2 linked regions of the Schizosaccharomyces pombe genome follow. The protein of the gene in region 1 purifies or fractionates together with the protein of each later gene. This does not show direct contact. Each region holds a gene or a part of one and is shown on either strand. Other genes may lie near its edges.

Region 1 (11,050 bases):
TATTGGATTAGTCGCAGCAGAAGTAATTACACCTGCAATTGCAGCAGCCATTAGATGTATTTGAGAGTTCTCTTGACCATTATTAAAGAGATCAGCCAATATACGCTTGCCATTGCCATATGAAAAAAAGTTAATTGACCGTGCAGGAATTGTTCCTATTAAATTAGGACCTAAGCCACGAAATAGTGCTCTTGTTCCTTCATGAACTTTTACATTTTTTAATATTATACATGTATCCATAAAATGCCTATATGCAGCCGTCAATGGACTTTTCGATTTCGCCGTTTGCTTCAAAAATCTGTCTTTGTAAAAGTCAGACTGCAACCTCGTCTTCACTACGTCCAAAGGTGCTGTTGCAATCGCTCCTAACATTCCTGCAACTCTAAAGAATATTAGAAAGACATTTCCCGTAAATTTACAAATCACTTACCCACCCGCTATAAAATGCGACAAAGGCGGTGGAGCACGTTCGTTACTGGCATTATTTGCTTTTGTTAATAAAACTTTTGTTTTTTGTGAGTTTTCAGAGGGTTTAATCTCTGAATTTGACAGCATGTCCAAACTCCTAATTTTTGGCTCTTGGCAATGTAATGTCATTCAAACATTAAACAAATTGCTACTCTTATGAACTTGAATGTCTAGTACTTTACTAGAATCTACTTAGTACATTCTTAATAGTAACTAGTAGTATTTTAACTACTCAAATTTAAGAGGCTTATTTACTAATGTCAAGGGACCTTCACATAAACTTCCCGAACGCTATTTGAAAACTCGAGTTAAACACGGAGCAAAAATATAACTAAATCTACAATATTAAATAATGTATCTGATCTTAAATAAGAGGGTTTTAAACTTCGGTTCCGTTAGAGAATTTTAACATAATCCGATTGTGCATATCTAAATGAAAACTGATAACTATTAGCTATTTTTTATATATTTAATTAGCATATGAAATTTATAAGTTTAATTTCATTTAAGACAGTTAGTTTATCAGAGATACAACTTAGTTAAGCAATTGCAACTATTTTTTGTACTGCACTTGTCGCGAATAGTAAGCCATAGCAAATGCTTTCGTCAGTAACAGCCTAAAACAAATTCGTATTTATTTGAAGAGTATACAAAAAATATTAAACAAAATTAGCATAGTGAAATTAAGCAGCAAATGTTATAGTTACTGTCTAAAATATTCTCATAGGAACCTGTTATCTAAACTTTTAAAAAAATAAATAAATCACGATTACAAAAAAAAAAAAATTAAGTTATTAAATCATAAACTAAAACAGATATTGTTTTAAACAAAAAGTTAGAGCTGCAAAAGCTAACTTTTAAATAAAGAGTACTCGATATGAAGTTCAGCATATGTACTTCTAATCGCTTTTTTGATTGTGTTGGAATACCTGAAAATTTAAGAAAATTTAAAATGTCAAGTATTACATATTCACATTGTTCAAGAATTACTTTTTTCTTCGTAATCAAAATCCATTCCTTCTGTAATAGATTATTTTTTGACGAAGTATTTTCTTGCAAGTAATCATCATGTTGGCATTTCCAATAAAAGAAAGAAAACAGATGTCTACCAAAATCAGATATTTACCAAAAGGTTGGCTCATACAACACTATTCTAGGTGAATACTGTTGCAGAGCTTCAGGAAAATCGATGGTATAAGGACGTGACTCGATATTCTCCCACGCCTTCAAGGTGTTACAAACTTCATCATTTGTTTCTACATTTGGCTTAACCAAATGGATGCTAAATAATAAAAGATCTAACAGTTCTTGATTACGATATATACACTTGCGTATTGTCAGACTTTCTAAAGTAGCCAATTGATCAGTCAATTCGACAAACCCATGCATATGCAAAATTAAATGACAGAGGAAAGTTAGTCTGTATCAATGTTAGTGACTATTAGAATATAGAAAATGTACATACCTGGATTGACGAGTAGAATCTAAAACTTCAATATGATTGCTGAGATGACTGAAAGATTGTAAAGATTGGGTTAAAGGACAAGGCAGTTTCTCTAAAAACCACGAATCTGGTACTTGTTCCATAACATAAGCTGATGCACCAATAAGATCCTGGAGAAAGGCTGCTGGTAAATCAAGCCTTTCTTCCAAACTGAACAATAAGAGGTGCTCAAAAACTGTTTTGCAATTAGGAAGCCCTGACAAGACAAGCTTCCAAATTCCCGATTTGTAATTGTCCAAACTTTCTAAAACTTTTTTTTGAACAACGTCGTCAGTTAATTCAGATAACTCGTCATCATCCAAAGTTGTAAGCCAGGTCGCATACAGAGGAGCCGAAAATTCATCCAAAGTTACCAATGCCTTTTTCAAACATGTAACGATATCTAATTGTCGTAAATCTATCATGAAATGTTCCGTCAAGGTTCTTAAAAATCTTTGATCTGGAATGACCTCGCTAATGACATTGCAATCATGTACATGTATAAAGGACCATATAGTTTTCATTATTTGTTCATTTCGGGTACAGAGTTTTATACCCAATTTGAAAAGCTTTAACCCAGAATCATGTTTCCGAGCTTCTTTACATAAAATTGATCTCCAATGTCGTTCTTCAAGATAACCCTCAGGCCAAGTGCTTTCGTCTAGAAGGTAATTAAAAAATTGCTTCAATGTTGTATTATTATCTTGTGCTTCGTATACATCACTGACAACAGCCCATATTTGATCCACCGACAATAACTTGCATCCATAAAATTGTAGTATTTTAAAAAAAGAGAGGATAGTACATTCGTCTCGTTTCAACAAGCTTGAAAAAGTTGTAGTTGCCAAGTCATCAAAATACGGGGGATGATTTAAAGCTATCTTTAACACCATAAGCAGGTCTGATGTGAAAATAACTGCCGTGTGTTTTGATGAGACAGTTATATTGTGAAACAAAAATTCAATGAAATCTTTCCTATTCGCAACGGTAGCATCCTTGTACTCTACGAATGCATCGTCATAGTTTGATTCATACGATGTTATTTCATAAAACTGCTCAATCAGCAAATTTACATCGGGTGAGTCATAACTAAAATTCAATTCAACTTGGAACAATTTTCCCATTTCATTCAGTAGGAGTTTTTGAGATTCTGTCTTTGGCACAACAGAACATATGAAGAAAAGAGTTTGGCATCTAGTACGAAATAAGATGAAATTTTATAAAGAAAAATTAACGCACAAGACTGAAAACTGAAGTGAACCAAGTTGTCGGCAATAAGCTTAGTCATTACTTGAAACATTGAATAGTGAAATGCAAAAAGCATAACCAGGTAATCCTCATATAACTTTGACATAGGTGTCGATGCTATTTTAACAAGACTCAGGGTAATGATAGCATAATTCTCTTCTTTTTTAAACATGAAAGAGAAATGGTCTTCTTTAAATCGTTTAACGTATTCATCGCAAATTGACCAATCCACAAAGTAATTTCCTTTGGAAAGGATATAATATATTTTGTTCTTCAATTGTTGAGACATGCGAAGAATAGGCAACTGAACAAGAATCTTGCGCTGATCGTCCATGAAAGAAGAATTAAGCATCGATTCCCTCAGGTAACCTAATGAAGCAAGTCTAGCAATATACTTTGAAAAGAAGAAGTATCCACATGCTGCGAGATGATCAAGTAATTGAGCTGCCGCAACACATTCATTGTACTCCAGAGGATGCAATTTTAAAACAAACGACAATGTCAGATCCACAATTAAATTTCTGTCAAAATTGGCGTTGTCAAAAATTGAGGATACGATGAAATTTCGATCACCTGAAAAAATAGAACGGCAATTGATACACCAATGTAGTAAAAGAGGCACACCTGTATAAACTGGTAAAAGTTTAAACAAATCTTTAGCCAGTGTTCTCCAACCCACTGGAAAGGAAAGACATGAAATAATTTGCAAGAAGCGAATACTACTTGTGACAGGTTTGTACATGTACATGGCTTTTGAGTTTCTTTCCTGCATTATAGATAAAAGCGTGCTATAATTTGGAAAATCCTTCCATAATAATATAATAGTAGGTTTCAATTTGTCCCATTCAGTAGGAAAAAAGAACGACTCAATATTTTTTTGAGCCAAGGTAAATAAAAAATGAGATACTTTTTTTGAAAGCAAGCTAAACTTCAAAAGATTAGCAGGCTGGTCCACAATTAACTGTTGATAACTTTGCAGAATTGTGATAACACATTTACGACAAATATGGGTGTACTGGATCAGGCTTGTAGAAAAAAACTGTAAAGCAAAAAAGTGAAGACTAAAGGATTTTAAAGAAGAATCCCCTGAAAAGGAAACAATTCTTAATAGAAAATGTTTAGGCGAAACCAACTCTTCAGCCAGCAATCGACCAAAAAGCTTCAATAGGTAAGTGTAATCATCAGCGAACGAGTAAATATCAGCGTTTAGAAAAGACGAAATGAACGAAATTAAGAATCCCGCTGCAACATCAGTCCAATTTTTAACCCATTCTGTTATATCAGTTGTCTGGACTTTTCGTAAAAATGAACGAGCCTCATTTACTCCAGCGCATCGAATGAACCATATCGCTCGAGTAAAAGGGACTCGAAACTTCACCAACATTCGTAATATATCTTCTCCCCATAGACCATGTGGTATAGTTTTAATAAGAGAAGACAAGGGCACCATGGGATCAGATAAACCCTGCAACCAGCGGTCACGTCTAGACTCAGAAAGTGTAACTCTTGGTGGAGGACGAAACGGAGCGAATGGCTCATCAATTACTGCATCATTTTGCCGACCGAGCAAAGTAGAAGAATATCGTTTTAAATTTTCTAGAGTGCTTGATTTTTCAAGATGTTGTTGTAACAAACCCTGAGCAGATGCTCTATCACTTCGCACAGGTGGTGAATACCTGTGGCCTTTGGAAATAGCATCTCCTGCCAAAAAAGGAGCTCCGTCGACTGTCTCATCACGAAAATTTTTATCTGGAGCAGAAACTTTGCTTTGAAGTAATGTTAAGTACTCATCGTGTGAACTGGTCGAAGAATCAATATAGCAAATAGCTAAGGGCACCGCGTCATTAAAGCCTGGAGGGTTTGCTGAATCTCGATTGCTCATAAAGGATCAGAAAACACCTTTTTTGGAGCAACATATAAATATTAGTCAGATATTAAAAAAAAAAATGATTAGAGCTGGTAACAGAATGTTGTGGAAGTCCTTAAGCCAAGTTGGATTAGCAAATTAGATCCTTCTTCAAGAAACGTTTTCCAATTAAAGTTATTAAGAATCTAAGAGTAATGAAAAATTAAACAAGTTGGTTTTGAAACACAATGATTAGGTAAATTGTATTAATTGGCCTGTTGAAGTTAGCAATCATAAATTTCCACTTTTGTAAATACTAATATGTTAAATTTGAAGATTGATGTATTTGTTCATCATTCCTATTAGCTGATTAGATATTAAAAGTACTTTGATTTCTTCAACAAACGCTTCTAGGATTACGCGTAAGCCACATCAAAAACAATGAATATCTGCTACATTCTGAAAAGGTGTTTGCTTACAATTTTTGTGCTTAAAACAATAAATAACCTACAAGCTTGTGCTTGTTAACGTATGGGGCTGGCGAAGTCAATGTTATGCAGTGACTATGTGGTAGTCAGCAATCTACTACTATCCCTTCACCTCCAACTTTACGCATGAACAATAGTACATCAATAACGGTTTTATAAGTAAACAAAAAGCGAATTTTAGTCCATGACTATATATTTGAAAACTTAATAGGTCAATGGAAGAAAATACGGCTCAAAAGCAAAGTAATGCCACAGGCTTGCAACGACACGTATCAGGAAGATGGATTTCCAATGTTCCAAGTTATGAAGGTAATGAATGGAGTAGTGAAGAATCTGAGAGTGAGGATAAGGAAAGTAATCTCACCAGTAGTGAGAATATCGGAAAGAATCCCGAAAGGGAATTAAATTCTGACGGAACCGATCGCATTATAGAAGAAGAGGAGGAAGAGGATGATATTGAAAACGAGGCAAGTAGCTTTAGCGAGCAAAGTGAGAACGAGAATTATGACTTTTCATACCCTGGCACTTTTGTTTACCGAAAAGCAGCATCTAGTAGCCATGAGACGCTTGCTACTAAGGTTGTCTCCGCTGATGAAAGTGCACGGTTATGGGCCGAAAAGAGGAGATTTCTTTTACAGAAATTAGGAAAAGATCCAAATTCTAAGCCGATTGATTACAAATCTTCCATGGCATCTTCTAGCACCCGTTCATCTCAATCATCACAAGTTTCAGCCATTCAACCTCAAAGTCAAGATGATAATAGGGTCTCGGATATTCGACAAATGGAAAATCGAAGAGAGTTAAATGTAAAGAGGAGATCTGTTTCAAGTCCAGCAGAGGATCTTGCTATCCGTCCTTTAAGTTTCTCTAGGTATAAAAAGGCTGAAGAAATACCCGAGTCTTTACCTCCTATCAAGGGTAGAGATAGTTTTTCAAGTGTCAGAGAGCTCAATGAATCAAACGTATTTGCTCGTGCTCCAAATAAGAACCGATTCTCATTTGCTTCAGTTGCAGAGACTGGTAGTGGCTCCAATTTTTCCAGGGCTACCTCTTCCAGAAGTTCAAAAACTCGTAGCGTCGTATATGAACCTAATCATAGGCATACCAGCTTCTTTGGGGACACGCTTAGTAACCTATCTTCCTCGTTGAACGATAAGAAATCTCCTAATGACGATCATGCAGTACTAGATAGCGAATTAATGGAGCAAACTTTGCCGGACTCTGCCGAGGCGGTAGAAATTGCTAATAATGTGAAAGAAGATATTGTTTCTACCGCTAACGATGATGCCAATGAATTGGATAATACGAGTGAAAAAGCTACTTTGGAAACTAGTTCAAAGCCTGTTACGGAACAAGCAATTGAGCAATCTGAGGTTGTTCAAGAAGTCGAGGAGGGAGATACGAACATGACTACTAATACAATTTTGAAACCAACTGACGAAATTATTAATAAGGGTTATGCGTATTCTATAACAAGCTCACACTCGAATCATTCAAATGAGAAGTTTGAACAAATACCTAGTCCTGATGAAAAGCTTTCTCGAACAGATATTGACACTCATGTCAAGCAATTACAAACTACTAAGTCAACTGATAGCTTGTCTATTCCATTTGTTGAGTCTCCGCAGCAAAACCCAGAGGAAGAACTTTCGGACTCACTATCTAACGATTTTGGAATCGATGCTGAAAAGGAGAAGGATGAAAACCTCTCAAAACCGGAGCATCATCCATCTATAACTTCTGTAAATTCACCATTTCTTTATTCTCCTAGTAAGCAGCCCTCAGGTGAGTTGGATGAAGAAAATCTTAAACTACGATTACAAGATTCAGATGTGGATGATGAGGTAGCCACAATTCGTTCACTTAAACAAAATAATGCTACCAATTCGGAGGTTGAGACAGTTACGAACGATCCTTCTTTCTCCCAACAACCGGGTACTCATAGTCGTATTTTGCGAAATTTTGATGCTATCAGCTCTATCGATTCAATACCTGATAGCTTTTCTGACAGCGCTGTCGATTTGCCTGTCGATTCGTCAAAATATACCCTTGTTGGAAAAACTCAAAGTAATTCCAATCTACTTCAGGACAATGCTGAGAAACATATTTCAAAATCGAACCTTGAAAAAGTTGATGTGAAAGGAGATACATCACCCAATTCTGTCGAGCAAGGGATTGAACCTCAAGCTGCTTCTGTTGTTGGATCTCCACGCTCTTCTTTGGTTTCTAACAACTCCCTAGAGGAAGGAGCACTATTGAAAAACTCAGAAAGCTTGGAAAGTATCTATGGTTATCTTTCGGAGGAGCCCGATCCAGCTCTTACCAAGTTGAATACCGAAGACCCTTTTTGGACTAAGGGGTCATCTGACGATGAACATACAATAGCCTCTGTAGAACAAGACGTATATCCATATAAAACTAGTCTTCCAACTATTGTTGAAGCGACTACTTCTCACACTGAGTCAAGTAACTCAAAGGCTCCCGCAATTGAAGAAACGACAACTACAAAGGTCGAAGTGGTAGCTGCTCACGATGCAGTTTCAATATCCAGTAATTCCAGTACACATAAGTCTCACTCTGAACCATTAAATAGAGATGAGTTAGAAGTTGCTGCCTTAAGCCGTGGATCCTTGCCAGAACCTCCAAAACCCAACAAGCAAATAGTCGTTCAGGAAGAGGATCAACGAGACACACTATCTCTAAAGACAAGCACGACAGGTTTATCTTCTCATTCTAAAAGTGCTGAAAATAATTCAACTCAGCAGTCGACCACTTCTCCTAGCATTAACTCCGGTGCTTCAGCGGATGCTGTTTCTTCTGGAATTTCCAAAAAGGCTGATAATAGTGAAACTAATTTAAATTACTTTGCTACCTTAGATGCGTTTGTCAAGAGTCCATTGATGTCGTTCGATGGATTGGGTGAATTAGGTTCTACCGATCAACGTTACAACTTTTTCAATCAAAAGATTCAAGAATATTCAGCATACGATTCGGGCCTTGATAATTGGATTCAGTTTTGCTTAGAAAAAGATGGTGAGGCTCCAAAGGAAGCTCCTCCTCCTCCTCGTTCTGAGCCAGTTTCAACTACAACCAAACTTGCCAAAAGAATTACGCAGCCTTCGTTGAGTCCTGCAAGGTCAACTGTTACTATAACTCACAACATTGCTACTGAAGCAAAAAAGAAGTCTAAATCTGCTGCTAATGATATTTTACATTTGTTTAAGAAGAAAGCAAAAAGTGAACAATCAAACGCCAAGTCGTCATCTAGCTCTATCAAAGAATCCAAAAAGATGAAAACTCTTTTCGGAAAAAAATTGGGATTCAAATCATAAATCTTTTGCATACACTTTTTACCTAACTTTTTTCTCTCTTTTGTAATTTTCTAATTTATGTATTGTTTACGAAGCATTGCATTTCAATCAATAAGATTTTATCTAAATATTGTTTCATTTTCGTATTGCGCATTTTTGTGAAACCATTTAGTTATTTTTATCAGACGATGAGTTAAAATATCAAGCATATTCTGGTTTTGCTGCCACTTGTCTAAACCAAAATAAGAAACTGGACGAAAAACTTTCGACAAATTCAGGCTAGTACACAAAACAAAACAATCGAAATTAAATATTCATCATTTTTTGGGATATTCTTTCGTTTTCTTGGTGTTTTAGGATTCTGAGTACGCTGCTTTCAAGCTAAGTTTCATTAAATGGATGTCGGCTGAAGAATACATTGAGGTATCATCTTCTCCTGATATATTCACGGACGTATGAAAAAAATATGATATTCTATAGCAAATGATTAGAAATATTACATTGAACTGAAGTAAATGTATATTAACTGAGCTTTAGGATGATGACATGATAACAATAGAGCCAGAGCTAAACAAAAACCCTAAAGATTGTAATAGTAAACGAAAAAGATCTGTTACTGAATGTTGTGAAATTAGGCTGATAACTTCTAAATGTGATTTTGAGTCTACTCAACAGCTTGTGCATCACAATTGTACGGGACATAAGGTTCATGAGCACAACTTAAACGCTGTGGATGAAGAAGATTTTGATACTGAAAATCTCCCTCTTCTTTTTTCTTCCTTTAGCGACAATGAATCAGATATCTTAGAACCCGATCTTAACACTCGGGTAGCTGAAGATAATGATGTCCTTTTATCTAGATACAGCAAAATTAAAAATAGTGCTTCATGCAGAAATACTTTCGAGCACTCTGCATATCACTCAAATAGGGAAGAAATATCTTCTAGTGGTTTTTATTACCATAGGAAGCCTCAATTGTTCGAAAAATCTTTAGAGAAGTTAGGAAATAAATCAATTGAAGCCAACAGGAGTCCTCTTATAAAAGAACTTTGTGAATCGGCTAATTCTACTGAAAACGTTTGTTTTTCTGTTTCCACCGTTGATGAAATTCAGCAAAGGCATCCAAGCGCCGGTCATTCAATAGACTCAACTTGTCAGTCAAACTCGTTTCTTGAAGGCGATAGTGCTACACATAAGAAAAAAAAAACGGACAATATTAAAGAGTTTACTTCATGTGAATTTAATGACCGTAGCAGAACCCTGTTAAACTATGCCGGTTACATGGACACTAACAAAAACGCTGATAATGAAGCTAAATCATTAAAAGAAAAGTTGGAGAATTTTCCGGTTGAAAAATTACGTGCTATAGCGGAAAGTTATGGCTTCAAATCATCAGATTCGAAAGCAACTCTCATTAAGATAGTAGAATCTTGTTTGGATGCAATCGATAGCCGATCTCAGTCTAAAAAATTAGGCAAAGAAACTCCCCATGATTATTTGATAACTTCTACTAAAACAGTATTGGAGTTTGATGATATAGTGACACAGACTCATAGAGCAATTTCGCAAGTTGTTAAGCAAGCCAAAGACAATAGTGTGTGGATTAAAATTCTTACGTATTCTGCTATTGATGTGGAAGAATTTCAACTTTGGCTGAAGCGGAAAAATTTAAATGTTTCGCTAGATCTTATAAAGTCTTGGTGCGATAAGTATGGAGTACTCATGAAAGGGAGTTGGCATTAGCTAGCTAATCAGTGATTTTTGAGTGAAAATTGATGGTTTTTAAAGCAAAACAATATCATTTTTACAAAAAGATTTTGGATTTTTGAGCATCAAAATTAACAGCAAACAACCCAGCTTTAGATTTAAGTCAATTCAAGTCCTGTTTTAGATAAGAATCGTCCTTTGCAGCAGTGCTGAGGAAAAATCAAGATATCTTTTATGTGTTATAACGAGTAACATATATTATTGGAATCAAAAACTAATCATTATATCTTGCTTGGTCTTTGGAAACAGTTTGAACTGTTTGAGATAGCTTGTCTATGAACTATTTTGGAATATTCGGTATACAAATTTAGTACTATAACTTTTTTGTTAACACCACGTTTTACAAGGCAGTATACGTTGTTAACTATGAAAAAACCGTAACTCCAATTTATGTAAAATATGGCTTCTGTATTGTGATATTCAACCACTGAACTTCTTT
Region 2 (10,430 bases), on another chromosome or scaffold:
CACCAGAAAACTTGACCCAGGTGATTCTGAGGCCCTATGCGTTTCATGCAAAATAGATTTTTGAAGTTCTAAATCTATTACAATTTCAGTTGACGACGCAATCGCAAACGTCCAGCCTCTATTTATTTATCGAAATACCGTACGAATTTAAAATGCACTATACAATTACACTGCAATGATCAACCTCGTTGTTATCTTGTAAAGGGTAGGGTTGAGACTGTCTTTTTGACAGTAATGCAAAAGAAGCAGCGAGAGTTTAATGACAAAACTGGAGCATATAATCGAGGACGTCTTGATTAAAAAGCATCTTATTATTATTTAAAAATGTCAACAGAAGGAGATCATGTGCCCCAGGCTGAAGAGGTCATTGAGACCGTCGAAGTTGTAGAAGAGGAAACTGGTTCTTCCCCATTGTCCGTTGAGGATTCTTTGAAAGAGGTTCTAAAGCGTGCACTTGTCCATGATGGACTTGCTCGCGGTATCCGTGAAGCTTCCAAAGCCCTTGACCGTCGCCAAGCCCACCTTTGTGTTCTATGCGAGAGCTGTGATCAAGAAGCTTATGTTAAGCTTGTTGAAGCCCTTTGTGCTGAATCCCAAACCCCTTTGGTTAAAGTAGCTGATCCTAAGATCTTAGGTGAATGGGCTGGTTTGTGCGTTCTTGACCGTGATGGAAATGCCCGTAAGGTTGTTGGCTGCTCTTGTGTTGCTGTAACTGTATGTGATCATTTTTTCGAAAATTGTTTCTTCTATGCATGCTAACTTATTTTTTAGGACTATGGTGAGGACTCTGTTGCTTTACAAACTTTGCTTTCTAGCTTTGCTGCTTAGATTCAGTCTTTTGTTCATACACAATAAAAATTTATTGTATTTCTTAAATCTTAGCTTTGCAGTAGTTTCAATACTAGCTTTATTTGCTATTAGCAATGATTTTAAAGCTTGGGTTAACATTTTTTTTCACACGTCCATTCTATGAGCAATAATGTAATGTACTTATAATTTAACCATTTCCAACTTTAATTGTAAATTCATGAATGCTCAAGTTAGTACGAATCGTAAACTCGGAAATTTACAAATTTCTAACGATTGAAGGAATGCTTTATATCAACTAAAGACACCGTGTTGCTGATAAGAAGGGACATCATTTTAACTGGGAATAAGAATAGATACTGATGATGTTGAATAAATATTCACAACCTCATATTAAGTTTAGTAATAATAACAAGGAAATAGCATAAAAATAGAATAATGAATTAGAAAATAACACGACGCACAAATTTCACTCAATAACAATGACAAATGACATGAAAACTCTAGTTTTTTTCATTGGTAAACAAACCGACCCAGAACCAAAGACTAGAAGTAAAAAACTGAGGTAAATACAAATTCGCAACATAGAACGATAAAACATCTGCAAGCTAAGTATTAAACAAGAATTATAACTATACATTGGAAGCGAGCAATGCAAACTGTAAAAAAGTCCATGACGAATGATATGAATAACTGACGAGCGACCCGTAAGTCTTCATAATAAAGTGGATATTTTTTAAAAGCAGCTGATAAGCTTAGAATTAAGACCCATAAGGAAGAGTATAAAAACCAACTTACAACGGAACTTGAATAGACAAAATTTCCCTTTTTTTATGTATTTATAAATAATTGGCATTGTCAAGAAGCATCATTACTTATACTGCCGCTACTTCGAGTTCTTCGAAGATTTGTGAACATACTTGACTCAGACGTGGACGGGCTAACAAGAGGCAGTTGTGCACTATGAGGCTTTTCAGGGAAAAGCAAATTACCTTCAGATTTCCTTTTGGATTGTTTCAAGGATGACGATTGATAGGGACCTTGACTAGAATTTTTACGAATAATTTGTTGATATTCTGAAAGCTGAAAAATCAAAGACATGTTGGGACCTATCCATGGAGATCGTTCTTTAACGTACTCATAAGCATCAGAAACATTTAGGTTTAATGTCTTCATTATAAACGCGATCATCAAACAAGCAGAGCGAGAAATGCCCATTTGACAATTAATTAAAACCTTTTTGTTAAGTTGCATGGCATTGTAAGCTACAAAAGAAACAAGCTTATCAAGTTCCAAAGCAAACTGTGTATCATGATCCCAATGAATGTGAACATATTCGATGTGATCAAATACTTGAATGTCCAGGTTATGTTTAGAATCTCTATAATGACGGCCATCAGTGCGAAATGGATGCAAAACTTCCTTCGCCACGTTTATAACAACATCAAAAGATTGAATAATGGGCATAGTAGGTTTGGCATATAAGTAAATATTTGGGGGATAGATACAAACAGGGCCATTGGGGTACGGCTGATTAGAATTGGGTTTAGATGCTTTCGGGAAAGATGGAGGGACAGGACACGGAGTAAACAATTGTGAATGACTAGCTTCCTCTTCGTTTTCCAACATATTTTTGTGGGAAACCAGGGGAAGTTGGGAGGTGTAAATTTTTAAGGGAGGTAGTTTTTGAGACATTCTCAAAGGAAGTTTTGATCGAAGCGGTTGTAAGGAAGACTCTTTTCGTTCTATATTTGTTGAGGACTTCAATGCACGTCCTTTCGTTTCAATTTGCTCTTCTGCATTTTCTTTCGCTGATTCAGAATTCATTTTGTGAGTTACCTTCAAACATTCATGGCACCAATAACCATTTCAACTTAGCTTCCTCTATAATATTTAACTTGCAAGAAGATAACTGGAGAATACAAATTTTCAGTGTTCTAATAATTGATGATAGACTGAAAAGATGTATGGAAGTATTGTGAGCTCCTACCAAGCTACAGCATTTGATGCTTTTCTACAGGTGACAGAGGTAACGCATTTTAACAAGTTGGTAAACTTGAATATAGAAAGATACTAAAAGTAAATACAGTAACGAGTTAAATTATCTGATTCATTTTATAAATCAGGTGCGAAATAAAGCTAATTAAACACAATGTACCATTTCGTCTTGCGAAGAAGACATCCACTTCCCAAATCTAAATTATCGTATATGGTTAAATAATGAAAAGATCTGCACTGAATTATCAATTTTAAAAAAATAGCATTGATGAGAAGATGAACAAAACCTCAAATTTTAAGACGTTCTCATACTATAAAGTTTGAGCAAGCAATGCAGCAAATAGAGATGCAGCCAGATCCAATAACATTAAAATAGACGTCCTAGTAGGATTAGCAACTTCTTAAAGAAATGAGCGATATAAAAAAAATAAAAACTTGTACGAGAGGGACGACAAATTAAATGATAGCACTCCTCAATCAATGTTTGTATGAACTTACATGTATGAGAAGAACCTGATTTACTTGATAAACACAAAGAAAAATTGATTCAAAATTAAACTTGTAATAGGCCGAACTAGGGGGAAGGAGTGTCTTGAAGAGAAGGAAAAGACTGTGATGCTGGAGACGCCCTCTGGGGGATAATAGGATGAGCAACTCGCAAAGACGTTGGTGATGGATGCAAGCTCGATTTGTTTGTAGAATTCGAGACATGACGGGTTGATGGATCGCTACGGTACCGGAAATGAGATGCAGCACTATACATTTGAGAAGGAGGAGTAGAATGTGTATGAATTTTTGAATGAAATCGGGAATCATCAGAAAAGAGAGTTGTTCTAACATTATGATGAGAAAGTTCATTTGATTGAAGATCAACTGATGGAAAGGGGTCATTTAAATGCAGAGAAGGCCTACCATAACTATCAGAGGCCATACGTTGTGGTGAAGAATCAACAGAACTGGTATAATTCAATGGTGGTGTATGACGGACAAGATCTAAAGAGTTTGAGCTTTCCTGTTGACTCAAAATAGATGCATCGATCGCTTCTTGCACCAAGCCAAGACACAATTCGGCAAGGCTTCGGCATAACGCATCCACCACACTCGATGGAGAGGTGTTTACCAAGGTGATTGCATGGTTTACAGCTTGCTCTACGGGCTTTAAAATGATGGGCGAAGGATGATAAGTGCGAAGCCGCATAAGAGCCGTTTGCATCGTGCTTAGCGGCGCCGGTGAGTGAGGTGAATGAGTAGAGGGTAAAAGAGAAGGGTAACTGTTAGGAGAACGATATGGACTAAGATTGTTATGATAGCCTAAGTAGGAAGAGGGTCGCTCACTGAGTTGAAGCTCTACTTGATTTAAGCGTTCTCGGAGATTTTCAAGCTCCTGAAGCACAAGGTTATTATCTGCAGTCGATACTTTTTCCAAAGACTTTTCAGAAACAAATTTCGCTGCTTTATGCTCCTGTATAGCATTATTAGACTTCATTGAATTCACGTTTGCATCCGCCAAACTCGGCCAAGACGGCGAGTAAAGAGGATTTTCATCTTTTGTAAAAGAGACCCCATTGTCTAAATAATTATTATCGCTATACATGGAATCTTCTAAAGGTTCTGTCATTAAAGATGCGGATCTCATACCAGCGCGCCATGGTGAACCTCTTGGAGTAGATTCGCGCGAATTTGAGGATAATTGATTAGCAGAGGCTTCATAATTAAGAAAAGGATCCTCTGCCACTTCCCTATCAGACTGGTAATTATGTTCAGACATGCGAAACCACCAGCAAGACGCTGGAGGATTAGAATAAACAGTTGCAAGACCAAGCTCGAATTTGCAAGAGATTCTTGCACTCTTGAAAGATAAAGAGTTGAAAGCACGAATTAACGAATAGAGTATGCACTCTGAAAACCTAACTTAACATACTGTCTTATACTATTTAAAAGTAATATTGCAAAACACAGCAACAAGACAGTTCGCTATTAGTTATCATAACGTATTTTAACGGGATCCACGAAGTTTTCCTGAATAAGCTTTTCCCACAGTTCGTTAGGATAACTTGCTAGTTTTTATTAACCGAAGCTTAATTCTAAGCGGCAACTTCGACTGTGCGGGCAAACAGTACGCTTCGTTACATGTCACTATGCTTTTTTAACTATTCCTAAAAAATCTTTAAATGCCTTTAACACACAATAATCGTTATTGTTTTTAGTGAGTGTATGGTTGAGATAGTTTGAAATAGGAACTACGTATTCTAAAATGCTACACTATTTAAGACAAATAGCAAAACATCTTTTTGTTGAATGAATGAATATATTTGGAAGAGTAATTGAGAAAATAAAGCATAATCCGAAAAATTAAAAAAGCACACCTAGTATATGACAACACTAATTTTCCAGTTGAGAACAATACAAAAGTCAAGATATCAATAACACCAGTGTGAAGCTACAAAATTACAATTTTTTTAATTCAAGCAAAACCAATTCGTCGAATTATCCTCTCAATTTAGACAATTACATCTTTAGTTACTGAATATACCTCAAGAACCAAATAGATGTGTTTTTTAAACAACATTAATAATTATGTACTACTGAAATTATCGTTAAAAACTATATAACGCAATAATAGACAATGCAGTAAAAAAGAGCGCTATGTAATAACAATTCCTCATTCCGCTTCGAGGGGCTTTCTAAATGGTTAAACTCCACTCAATTACCCTTGCTTAACTCCACGTTCTATCTCCACAAAATTCGGTAAAGTCAAATTAAGGATGATGCGACGACTCTCGGAATCCTTTGTTTATATCACGGTCCGACATCTTGCACTCTCCATACATGCTACATTAGTTATAAAAAAACAATGTCAATGCTTTCTACTTTACGTACTGCAGGTTCTTTACGGACGTTTTCAAGAAGCGCCTGTTACTCTTTTGTAAGTTGTGAATTGGCTCCTAAGCGATAAATCGCTGGTTTAAGCAGCCTTACTCGTCTTTTCATGATTATTTGATCGATTATATTAACAGAGTTATTTTTAGCAGAGATTTTCTTCAACGAAGGCTGCCGCTGGGACATATGAAGGAGTAAAGAATGCCAACGGGAACTACACAGTAACGATGATTGCTGGCGATGGCATTGGTCCAGAAATTGCTCAGTCTGTAGAACGTATATTTAAGGCTGCAAAGGTTTGTCGAGTCATCCGTCATTTAGTCATTAACGACTTGTATTGTAGGTCCCTATCGAATGGGAACGTGTAAAAGTATATCCTATTTTGAAAAATGGTATGTCAAGTATAAGAGAAGATGGTTGGATTTGTATGCAGTTTGGCCTTTCTTTTATACGTTTTTGTCAGCAATGCTTGTTCCTGCTTGTCAAGTCCTTCCATGTCTCCTCGAGATTATCGCGCACGAAAATCACGTTTACTAATTCGTTTAGGTACTACTACTATTCCTGATGATGCTAAGGAATCTGTTAGGAAAAATAAAGTGGCTTTGAAAGGTCCATTGGCAACCCCAATTGGGAAGGGTCATGTTTCTATGAACCTTACTTTGCGTCGTACTTTCGGCTTGTTTGCCAATGTTCGTCCCTGTGTATCTATTACGGGATACAAAACACCTTATGATAACGTTAATACCGTTTTGATTCGTGAGAACACTGAGGGTGAATACTCAGGCATCGAGCATGAAGTTATACCAGGCGTTGTTCAATCGATTAAATTAATTACTCGCGCAGCATCTGAGCGTGTTATTCGTTATGCATTCCAATATGCTCGCCAAACTGGCAAGAACAACATCACCGTAGTCCACAAGGCTACCATTATGCGCATGGCTGACGGTTTATTTTTGGAATGCGCCAAGGAGCTTGCACCTGAATATCCTGATATCGAGCTTAGGGAGGAAATCTTGGATAACGCCTGCTTGAAGATTGTCACCGATCCTGTCCCTTATAACAACACAGTTATGGTTATGCCCAATTTATACGGTGATATTGTTTCTGATATGTGCGCTGGTTTAATTGGCGGTCTTGGTTTGACTCCTTCCGGAAACATTGGCAACCAAGCTTCCATCTTTGAAGCTGTTCATGGTACTGCCCCTGATATTGCTGGAAAAGGTTTAGCCAACCCTACTGCTTTACTGTTATCTTCTGTAATGATGTTGAAGCACATGAATTTAAATGATTATGCCAAACGCATCGAATCAGGTATGTGTTTTACTAAATTAAGATTTTGTCTGTTTACTAATTACCATTAGCTATCTTTGATACCCTTGCAAACAATCCCGATGCTCGCACCAAGGATTTGGGCGGCAAGTCAAACAATGTTCAATATACCGATGCCATTATTTCTAAACTGAAGTAACATGCCCATTTTGTTTACTTCTTGCTATGAACACTGAATTTATGTTTCTTTCCTTATCATGAGTTTTCTCTCCTAGCCGATTTTTGTTACCACTTTTAATGAATTGTGTAACGATTTGAGTTGTAATTCGGAAGCATTAACTCTTTTGTATCAAAAAACCGAATTGATCGAAATGTTAGTTACAAATATTTCAATATGAAATCTCCATTTTTGAAATGCTTATTGCACTCTATAAGATTAATCAATTAGTTGCTTATATTTTATGACAGCCGCATACAATGCAGCCCATTAATTCATTCTCTGAAAAACTTTTGTAAAAGTAAATAAACTAGCGCCATCTTCCTTCTTCTACCTCTATGTTCATGTTGTCGCTTGTATTAGATTCGCCAGTCTCCATGGATGTAGTATTAGTTGTAACAGCTGTTTTTGGCACCCACGCCAACTCCAATTCTTGAAGTTTTTCAACGTTCCGAACTCCACCAAAAAACTAAAATTTGTTAACTTGAAATTTTTTCTGTCAGAGAAAGAATCAGCTACATACCTTTTCAGCGGAATTTCTATTCTGAAAACTGATAAGACGTTCAGTAGTTGAAGGTTCAGTAATTTCCTCATATCCTCCAACAGTGAATAAGTATTGCAACAAAGCTTCATTTTTTTCAGGAGAAACATTTATTACACGAAGCTTAGTTGGACGATTATCGATGGACATTGACGCAAACATATCACCTCGTCCGCGACCTCTGCCACGGAAAAATGTGTTGGTACCTCGCTGGGGAAGTCCTGAAGCGTAAGGATGATGAGAACCATTAGATGCCGCTGGGCTTTCAGAAACGTTGCTCACAGGTAACCCTAAGCAATCAGCCTCAGCCTTCAAAAGAGAATGCTGAGTTTCTAACAACATGAGTCTTTTGTTTCCTGAACGGTCAGTTTCCTTAATTTTTTGCATCAGTAACTCTTGTTCTTTTAATTGTTGCTGTGCAAGCTCGCGCTTTTTTTGGTTAAGTTCTTCTAGTGCCTTTTTATTAGCATTTATGCGTTTTAAACGTTCTTCGTGCTGCCTTTGCCTTTCTTCAATCAGTTTATGAAACTCTTCGTTTTGTAACAAAGAAGCAGGATCGACATCTTCAGAACTCTCTACATTCGACGAATCGGAAGTAGTGGGAGATTTATGGGATGCAAACTTCTTTGGTCGATTGTGAAATCCCTTTGACGGATTATACCAAAATATTTTAATAAAGCGATTGTTAAATATGGGCTCAGGCGAGGACCAAGCATTGTTGGCAGCCTCATGGGAAGTGAATTCTAACACACAAGAATGATGTGTCGGATTTAATTCGACTTTCTCCAATACACCGAACTTTGAAAAAAAGGACCTAATGTTCTCCTCATTAAAATGCTCTTCCGGAATGTTTCGCACTTCTAAAGCAGTACTTGTTGGATCATTGCCAGCGTTACGAGAGAAGCGATGTCCCAGATGGGGTTGGGGATACGCTTTGTATGGATTAAATCTTCGATTACCAGGAGAATGCCTACGAAGTTCACTATTATGCTCATGGCGCATGCCAAATCCTCTTTTACCTCGCATCTTAAATGGGGGAGGGAAAGGAGGCTGCGCCGCAGGATTAAATGGTAAGAATGGTATGGGAGGCATTGCAGGATTTGGTAAGTTTCCAAACCCAGGAATACTGGGCATGAATTCAGAAGGTGCTGTGGCTGCTGGATGGTACAACGGAGGTCCAAACATATTAGGCACCTGAGAGGGAAAAGTGTTTGTTTTTCCTACAGCAGGTAAAGAATTATTAAAATTGGTTTCCATGCTGTTGGTGGCAGGGATCATTGATGAAGTTGGCGAATACCTTGAAACTTCTTCAGTCACCATACCGGTTGACGGCATATTTGAAGCACCCTCCAAGTAAGATTTTTCACGTAAAACATCAAAAATTTTATCAACAAAAGGAATTGTCTCCTGTCGCAAAAAATCTTCTAGTTGTGAGTAGCATAACTGGCGAACTTCTTCTTCAGAAGAATCGTGCCTTAACAATGCCATAGCATAATCTGATAAAACACTTGCATCAGCATCAGAACTAGTCATTTCGTTAGCATATTGATAAACAATTTTTTAGCGTGTAAAAAAAAAAATCACGCAAATTGGCAACTCAAAAAAAATTACATACATTGGCTCCAACGCCTGTTCTAAATATCTTTTCAAATACTAAAAGCGTTAATTCGGCATCTTAAAAATAAAATTACCTCAGCATGTTCTTCTAAGAACAACGGCATTGTGATGGAGCAAAGTGCTGGTTGTTGGAGCGTTACGCATGGTTGAGCCAGTAAGAAAATATAGATCACATAAGGTAAAATCTTTAACAATTAGCCAGAAAGTTCAAAAAGAATAAACATAATACCAAAATAATAACAAATGTCTTAGCTAGGGCAATTGGCTGGGATAAAATTTAACTGAGTAGTCGACATTAGATAAGGAATAGGAAGGTTTGCATAATATTACTCGTATTTAGACTACTAATATACAATGTATTTTAAGTCAAACTCTGACGATTATGAGAGTTTCGAAAGAGTTCACTTGTCTCCAATTATTTCATTGATTAAATTGTCAGCACAACAGTGAGTAAACGTGTTAGCTATATGCACTTTTTTATATTTTAGCACCACTTATAAATAGTTAATTTTAACGGTGGAGTGATTACATTTATATTAAATTATTTGAAAACCTAACTCGTCAAGAGAGCTAATGAACGTCCGGTATAGTCCGCATGAGTAAGTTGAAAATTAAAAAAAAAGGAAGTCTCTACATAAGAAGAGAAGAAGTTTTGCTTATGTACATGCGAAAACGCTTTTTACCCATTTTTTAAAAAAAAAGGTGATGTAGAAAGAAAAGAAAGATTATAAGTCGGGAATGAAAGATAATAGTTTAAGTTGACAGAACAAGATAAGGAAGTTAAGTGACAGCAACTTTCAATTAAGCCTTTATTTAAACCCTTCCAATTAAGATGAGGCAAGTAAATGATCAAGATGTGTAATGAATCATCAACATCCTTTTTTTAATTATCCAACGATAAATCCTATTTCAGTGGGTCTGTAAAGCAATCTCATATCCCAACATAAAAGGAAATGTCCTTAAAAGTATCCTAATAAATTCAAATCGGGTAAGTATGTAATAAAAGTATAACGACAATAACTGATCAATAATATAGCGAAAGGCGCCAGCAACAACGGATAGCAAAAAAAAAAATAGCTGAAAATTTTAATCAAAATTTAC

What was found. Proteins that work in one complex are often made in the same cells at the same time.
Region 2: the proteins of rng10 (region 1) and mto2 purify together in Schizosaccharomyces pombe (affinity purification with mass spectrometry, with the first as the bait; one study listed by BioGRID). This does not show direct contact.

What each region holds. Positions count from the first base shown.
Region 1 is NC_003424.3:3,117,194-3,128,243, reverse strand, and holds rng10 (protein Rng10), read left to right. Parts: upstream 1-5,635; 5' UTR 5,636-5,748; coding exon 5,749-8,865; 3' UTR 8,866-9,025; downstream 9,026-11,050. Other genes in the region: rim2 (mitochondrial pyrimidine nucleotide transporter), read right to left, coding at 1-382, 431-555; structure-specific endonuclease subunit Slx4, read left to right, coding at 9,244-9,297, 9,382-10,587.
Region 2 is NC_003423.3:488,885-499,314, reverse strand, and holds mto2 (gamma tubulin complex linker Mto2), read right to left. Parts: upstream 4,637-10,430; 5' UTR 4,574-4,636; coding exon 3,380-4,573; 3' UTR 3,304-3,379; exon of another isoform or gene 3,187-3,303; 3' UTR 2,892-3,186; downstream 1-2,891. Other genes in the region: rps1202 (40S ribosomal protein eS12), read left to right, coding at 325-714, 772-828; dual-specificity MAP kinase phosphatase Pmp1, read right to left, coding at 1,666-2,502; idh2 (isocitrate dehydrogenase (NAD+) subunit 2), read left to right, coding at 5,660-5,731, 5,835-5,981, 6,029-6,077, 6,232-6,996, 7,047-7,153; MTREC (exosome adaptor) complex RNA-binding subunit Rmn1, read right to left, coding at 7,482-7,640, 7,695-9,237, 9,328-9,365, 9,404-9,433.